Oryctolagus cuniculus: one gene and its partner. The protein of the gene in region 2 interacts with the protein of the main gene of each other region in a biochemical or structural test. Links are inferred from orthologs where the notes say so. Each region holds a gene or a part of one and is shown on either strand. Other genes may lie near its edges.

Region 1 (4,009 bases), on a different chromosome or scaffold from region 2:
CTGATTCATAACCCCACGTCCAAGAAGCTCTGACGCCCAAAGTGTGTTCAGTGCGTCTGTCCCACGTTCACTCGGCACAGAGTGTGCTCAGCGCGTCTGTCCCACGTTCACTCGGCACAGAGTGTGTTCAGTGCGTCTGTCCCACGTTCACTCGGCACAGAGTGTGCTCAGCGCGTCTGTCCCACGTTCACTCGGCACAGAGTGTGTTCAGTGCGTCTGTCCCACGTTCACTCGGCACAGAGTGTGTTCAGTGCGTCTGTCCCACGTTCACTCGGCACAGAGTGTGTTCAGTGCGTCTGTCCCACGTTCACTCGGCACAGAGTGTGTTCAGTGCGTCTGTCCCACGTTCACTCGGCACAGAGTGTGTTCAGTGCGTCTGTCCCACGTTCACTCGGCACAGAGACTGAAGCACTGAGGAGCGCCGGCACCTCACTGTGCAGATGTGCGCACCTCTGGCTCGGGTAATCTCGTCTGTGCTGATGGGGTGCTGCTTTCTGAACCAGGAAAAGCCGAATCCCAGGGTGCAGCTGGGCCCACGGGTTCTGCACAGGGAGGACAGGGAGCTGTGGCCCGAGTCTGCAGCTGGCGAAGTGCACTTCCTGCGAAGACGCACGTCTGCAGGGGCGCACAGGGCCCCAGACACAGGTGCAGGAGTCTGCTCCACCACCCTCCTCCTCAAACCTAAATGACACCAACCACGGAAAAAAGAGACAGCAACCTAAGAAGGTTCTGGAATATGTGACACCTGGGGCTCCAGGGAGGCCATGAGGAAAGGAAAAACACTAGACGCGCTGGAGACCGATGGCGACCCCGTGCGGGAGAAGGGCCGGGCACGGGCACACCCGGGACACAGAGGAGACCCCGTGCGGGAGAAGGGCCGGGCACAGGCACACCCGGGACACAGAGCAGACCCCATGCGGGAGAAGGGCCGGGCACAGGCACACCCGGGACACAGAGGGGACCCCGTGCGGGACAAGGGCCGGGCACAGGCACACCCGGGACACCGAGGGGACCCCGTGCGGGAGAAGGGCCGGGCACAGGCACACCCGGGAGACCGAGGGGACCCCGTGCGGGAGAAGGGCAGGGCACAGGCACACCCGGGAGACCGAGGGGACCCCGTGCGGGAGAAGGGCAGGGCACAGGCACACCCGGGAGACCGAGGGGACCCCGTGCGGGAGAAGGGCAGGGCACAGGCACACCCGGGAGACCGAGGGGACCCCGTGCGGGAGAAGGGCAGGGCACAGGCACACCCGGGAGACCGAGGGGACCCCGTGCGGGAGAAGGGCAGGGCACAGGCACACCCGGGAGACCGAGGGGACCCCGTGCGGGAGAAGGGCAGGGCACAGGCACACCCGGGAGACCGAGGGGATCCCGTGCGGGAGAAGGGCCGGGCACAGGCACACCCGGGACACTGAGGGGACCCCGTGCGGGAGAAGTGCCGGGCACAGGCACACCCAGGACACAGAGGGGGCCCGTGCGGGAGAAGGGCCGGGCACAGGCACACCCGGGAGACCGAGGGGACCCCGTGTGGGAGAAGGGCAGGGCACCGGCACACCAGGGCCCCAGCAAGAGGGACCGGAAGCTCTCTCCCCGCCTCCTGGCCGGCAAACCTTGTTCCCAGAACCCAAATTAAGGCCCCTACTATTAGTAAATTGCTACTTCAGGCAGGATGCTACATAAAAAGCTTTGTAGGCCAGGCGGTAACCTGCACGATGCTGTTATGGGAAAACGCGCTCCACGTCCCCCGCACCCAGCTCCAAACGCTGCGGGGCAGAGGCCTCCGGTCTCGGCCGGCGTGAGAACGGCTCCTGTGGGCAAGGCCAGCAGCGTGGGGGGGCGGGGGGGACACGTCCAGGCCAGGCCCTCCGGGAGGCCCTGCACCGACCAACGCCTCAGATGCCTCAATGCACACTCCCGGGGCAGGAACCTGTGTCCTTCCAGGACGGCCTGGAAGTCACTCAGACGGAGACCCGAGCTGCAGACACGCTCCCCAAGCCCCCGGGGACTCGGACCGCGACCCATCGCCGAGCCCCCACCGCGGCAGAGCCGGGTCCAGGAGAATCTGTTCTCTCTCGTTCCGGGCAGTGCGGGGCCCTGGGGGCCTCCCGCCCGCGCTGCACCTGCACGGGGGGCTCGGCCCAAGGCAGCCGCGACCCCAGCCTGCAGAGCCCGCACAGCCCAGACCCGGGTCTGTCTATCGCTCTCCTCCTGGGGAGCTGGGGGGCGCCTCGCCCTCCGGAGGCCTCTCGCAGCGCCCAGGGAATGCCAGGCCGGGCAGGGGTCGCGGGCCGCCCACCTCCCTCTCCCGCACGAGGCCGGGGTCCCCTAAGGCCAGCCCGCCGGCCGAGGCCCCAGTGCAAACACAGCTCAGAGGCCCTGATGCCCGCGGCGAGTCTCTGTCTTGCTCAACCCGCCTTCCTATAAACGAGAGGTTTGCACACCCGGGGCAGTTTCTCTCCATAAACCCCAGAGCCCGGCCCCGGGCCTGGGGGCGGAGGGCAGCGACCGGCCCCGGCCCCAGCGGCGCTCATAAACCGGGCAGCCGCCGGGCTCCGGCTAACTCCTCCGCCGGGGCAGGCGCGCCGAAGGCCCCCGCACCCGCCGCCCCCGAGCCCCGCCGCCCGGCCGGCGCCCCCGAGCCCCGCGCCCCCGAGCCCCTCCCGGCTGCGCCCCACACCACGGCCCTACCTGGCGGCGGCTGCCGCTCGCCCTCAGCCATCTTCCGCGGAGCCGGCGCGGCGCCCGCAGTCCCCTCTCGGCGTTCACCCCGCACCCGCTCTTCAGGTCCCCGGCTCTGCCACGGGCTCCGAGTTTTCCGGAGAGCAACGAGCGCCGGTCTGCTATCACCGAAAACCGAGAATTAAAGTCACCCCCGCCGAGACGACCGCCATGCTGGTGCCGGGCGCTCAGCGAGCATGCCCAGCAACGGCCGGCTCGCGACGGCCGCGGCGACGACGGGCGGCCGCCATGTCAGTGCGGGGCGCCTGCGGAGCATGCGCACTGAGGGGCCGCCATGTCAGTGCGGGGCGCCCGGGAGCATGCGCACTGCGCCCCAACTGCCGGGCCGCTGCTCGACCGCTAATGGCCCGCCCGGCAGCCGTACTTTCGCGGGTGTCAAGTTTTTGTGGAGGGGTTAAGGGGGGTGCAGCAGCCATGTTTCTGGGAGCCGGTCCCGGCTGTCATCTTAATCTAAAGAATGTCAGAGGACATTCCCGTCACCCTGTGTCTTCCTGCCGCCTATGAGGGCGCACAGCTTCAATGGCATTTGGAGGCGGGGGGAAGAGCTGAACCCTGACCTCGCCTTACCCCTCTGCCTCAGCCCCAGCGCTCCACGGTGTCGCACAACCGCTAGCTGCGCGCCGCTCGCCTCCCCGCCCGCCGTGGCCCCGCCCCGCAGTGGCCCCACCCTAGCCCGCTGTTGGCCCCGCCCCTCCTGCCGTGGCCCCGCCCCGGGCTCGCTATTGGCCCCTCCCCGCAGTGGCCCTGCCCCGAGCCCGCTGTTGGCCCCGCCCTGGGCTCGCTATTGGCCCCTCCCCAAGGTGGCCCCGCCCCGGGCCCGCTGTTGGCCCCGCCCCCGCCTGCCGTGGCCCCGCCCCGGGCTCGCGGCTAGCCGCCCGGGGCTCCGTGACCAAGGCCCCGCCCCGGTGTCCTCCCCGGGCCGTCCGCCCGCCGCCCGACCGGCCCGGTGGGTGGGCGCGGGGCCGCCTCTACCGGCTGGTGGCGGTGACTCGGCGACCTTGGCCCTGAAGCTCTAGCGGGGACCCACCGGCCGCAGCAGCCAAGCGGACTTTGCCCGGTTTGGTGGGCGGAGCGGCCTGCGCGTCCGCGGGCAGACAGCAAAGATGTTAGCCTTTGCCGCCAGGACCATGGTGAGTGCGGACGGAGTCCGGGCGGGAGGGCCCCGGCCGGGCCGGCTGCGCCACTGCGCCGGTCGGGGCGCGGGCCTGGGAGCGGCGCGGCCGGGGGCTCTGGCTGGGGCGGGGCCTGCAGGGGGATCCCCCCCAACCCC
Region 2 (3,523 bases):
TGGGGTGGGAGCCTGCGTACTGGGGTCAGCTCTCAGCCACAGTGGCGGCAGATCCCGTCCCGTCGGTGGTGCCCCCGTTGGGTCAGTGCGGCTGCCCGTGCGGCAGGCCTGCCTCGCTGGACAGCGGGGAGTGGCCCTCAGCCGTGCGCTGCCCAGCCGGAGCCGACCTTCCGCCTCCCTTCCTGTCTCCGAGCGCCCCTCACCGGGGCAGCAGCTTTCAATTGCAGGCCAGGCTGTGGCTCTTCCATGAAGGTGGGTTAGCTCTCCCCACCTCTTGGCAGGGACACAGGAATGCCACCATTTAGCTGGCCTTGCTGTCACCCCGCACCTCTCTCCTGTTCCTGTAACCTTGTTGGAAACTTGGTCCACACCCGCCAGGCACTGTGCTCTTGGGCACTTGGCCCAGCTTCTTCTTGGTGCTATTCTCAGATGCCCAGGCTGTCGCTGTCACCTTGTAGGCAGCACGGTGTTGGCTGCAGGGACCCCCAGGCAGGTCTTGCCCATGAGCCCACCCGCACCATGGCAGCCCCGGGACAGCCGCCAGGCTGGGCGTCCGTGCGGTCACTGTGTAGCTGTCTCGTGACTCAAAGACCCTTGCTTGTGCGTCATGCGTGCTCTCCGCCGAGGTGGTGGCCTGGCGCCTGTGTTTTAGCAGAGGTGGGGTCGTGGCAGGTGTGGGGGCCCAGCTGGCTGCCCCCCCACCACCACCACCTGCTGCAGCCACGGCCTCTCTCTCCCTGGACCCGCCACCTTCCCGGCACTCTGCGGGCCGGGCAGCAAAGCGTTCCTCTAACTGCGTGCATCCTGTGCGTCCTGGTGCAGTGAGGCCCGGACTGCAGGGAAGGCGCAGTCACCCGTCAGGTGCGCGGGTGTCATGGCTCGTGTCCGGTGAACCCTTGTCCCCGCCGTCCCCTGTGGTAACGTCTGCAGAGGAACCCAGGCTCGTAGGGCGCGCCCTCCCCGCGCGCTTTAGAAGTGTGCCGGAGGCCCGGGGCCTGCTGAGTGCAGTCAGTAACTCTCTCTGCTTTCGTCTCCTCACTTGCCGACGCGGGCACCAGCTGAAGAAGCCGGCGTGGGAGACACCCCCAACCTGGAAGACCAAGCTGCGGGACATGTGACTCAAGGTCAGTGTGCCACAGTCAAGGTCAGTGCGCCACAGGTGCCGGCGCAGCCGGGGGCTGGGAGCAGGGCAGAGGGAGCACTGGGGGGTAGGGAGGAGTCTGCTCGTTCCAAGGTGTTCAGTGTCCTGCGGGAAGCTGGCCCTGCCCGGGCAGGGAGCTGAGAAGGAGTGGCCGCGGTGAGGCGAGTGTGAGTGCCCACAGGTCTGTCCCCGAGCAGCACCTCCTCCGCGTGGTCACTGCCCAGGCCTGGTCCTGTGCGGCCTCCAGACCATCATCCGGGTCTCTTCTGTGTTCCAGAAAAGCGGGTTTTCTGTAACCATTTGTCACAGGCATTTCCAGACCTTTGGAAGTCTGAGAGCCTCCCGGGTTTAGGACATGGAGAGGTCAGAAAGAGATGGCCCTTGGGCTGGGTCTGTTCCCTGTCACCTGCCGGGCAGATGACCTTGGCCATCTCGCGGACAGTGTGGAAGCTTCCGGTGGCAGCGGAGCTGGGAAGACGCTGCTTACTCCGGAGAGTGCTAGGGATGTGCCGGCGTGCCCGGCGTGGAGGCCGCTCCTGGGCTATCTGGCTGTAGGAGGCGCTGCACCCACAGAGGGGTCCCAGGGGGTATGTTGAGGCTCAGTCTCCACCCCTGCTCCCAGAGGGGTCACTGCCCTCTGTGGGCTCATGGTTCTCTCGGCTGACATGTGAAGGCAGAGTGCTTTAAAAACGTTCTTAGGGTGTGAGTCCCTCAGGGGTCCCCGTCTGTGTGAGATTCTAGAATCCCGACTCCCGCTTCCTTGAGGTCGGGTTTTGAGCTTCGGTGAAAGTGGAGACCTCGTAAATATAACCTCTAGAAGTGGTCGCCTGTGCCCGGGTCTTAAAGAAGGGGAAGCGTTTTTCCCACAGATCTTTATTTATTGGAAAGGCAGAGAGACAGAGACAAAACACAGACGGACAGAGACCTTCTAATTGCTGGTCCACTCCCCCGGCCCCTGTGACAGCTGGGCTTGTGCCAGCCCACAGCCAGGAGGACTCAGGTCAGCCCGGGAGCTGGGCCTGGGGCAAGGGCAGAGGTGAAGCCGAGCTGAGGCGGCCTCCCCGCGGTGCCTGTGGCCCAACCGACTCCCGCGGGGTCCCCATGTCGCCCGTGTGTCCACGGCTGCGCCCGAGTGTTCTCCCACCTCTCCCTCATGTCTGAGCCCCTCCCTGCAAGTGCCTGAATCCTCTGGGGTCCAGGTCTGGCCTAGAGGCGAGCTGGGCAGGAGGACGGGTAGTCTCTTGGTAGCAGGTGAGATTCTGAGAGCTGGAGGCAGGAGAAATGCAGGTGGCTCAGTAGGGAAACTGAACCGCACAGGTCGCCTGTCCCTAACACACAGGTGGCGCTTGTTTGCGTGAGAAAGCTGGAGCCGGCTAGGTGGGCGTGCCGCGATGGTTTGGCCGGTCAGACCTGGCCCGGGATCTGCCCCACGCCGGGCCGTGCCAGCCTCGCGAGTGTGCTCCTGTTGGAAGGAATCCAACCGTGGCCAGTCCATTAATGGCCATCTTTGATCCTCACGCAGCTTGGAGCATCCAGTCTCCCAGAGCAGGCTCCGGGCATGGTGGGCAGCAGTGAGAGAGAGAGGGTGGAGAAGGGACCCGCCAGGTCCATGCAGGCGCCTCGGGGGACGCAGGTGCTCTGGGCTGGGGAGCAGCTCCTCTGGTGCCAGGGCACGGGGCACAGGGCAGCTCCAGAGATGGTGACGTCCCTGTGCCCAGCACAGGAGTGATGCCCATGCCGGAAGGGGCCTGGGAGGTCCCCAGGGCCGAGGTGAGGAACTGAGGCCCCGCAGAGGGGCAGTGCTCACGCAGTCACACAGGAAGTTGGTGGCAGGTGGACCCCTCATTGGTGCTGGCCTTTCAAGCACACAAGACCCCTGGATAAGCCCAGGGAGGGGCTCCTGCTTTGTTAGGCTGCGCTGTTTAAAACGCCCTTTCCCACGTCGCAGTCGGGTCCCCTCTCTTAAACACTGCACATGCCCTCGCTAACCTTGGACCACTGCTGCCTCTTCAAATCCAGAGGCGCTGAGAGTTGCCAGCTGGCAGAGGGCAGCACCTGGGCAGCCTGTGGGCCAGAAGCAGCCAGAAGCCTCGGCTGAGTTGGTCACACCCCTTCCTGAGCAGCATCCCGTCTTCCCAGAACCTCCTCCACCAGGAGGCCCTCAGGAGCTCCGCCAAGAGTGGGGACCAACACATGGGGACCTGGCCAAGGAGGGCCTGGCCTTTCCGAAGCCTGTGTCCCCCGGATCTCTGCAGAAGGGGCCTGAGATCATCAAGGCCCAGGAAAGCCTGGGCAGGGAGCTGGGGCTCCAAGGAGGCCAGGCCTCGGACCCAGGGCCCCCCAGCCTGATCTGCCAGGACGTGCCTGCCCTGTCTGGGACTC

Evidence for each region.
Region 1: of the proteins of MAPT (region 2) and PTPA, one has a biochemical effect on the other in vitro, tested with the Homo sapiens proteins (2 studies listed by BioGRID). The link is inferred for Oryctolagus cuniculus from reciprocal best matches to the Homo sapiens genes MAPT and PTPA.

Annotation. Positions count from the first base shown.
Region 1 is NC_091432.1:232,229,424-232,233,432, reverse strand, and holds the start of PTPA (serine/threonine-protein phosphatase 2A activator), read right to left. Parts: upstream 2,806-4,009; 5' UTR 2,720-2,805; coding exon 2,689-2,719; intron 1-2,688. Other genes in the region: CRAT (carnitine O-acetyltransferase), read left to right, coding at 3,843-3,869. UniProt on the Homo sapiens protein: PPIases accelerate the folding of proteins. It catalyzes the cis-trans isomerization of proline imidic peptide bonds in oligopeptides. Acts as a regulatory subunit for serine/threonine-protein phosphatase 2A (PP2A).
Region 2 is NC_091448.1:17,253,857-17,257,379, reverse strand, and holds part of MAPT (microtubule-associated protein tau), read left to right. Parts: intron 1-1,058; coding exon 1,059-1,124; intron 1,125-3,160; coding exon 3,161-3,523. UniProt on the Homo sapiens protein: Promotes microtubule assembly and stability, and might be involved in the establishment and maintenance of neuronal polarity.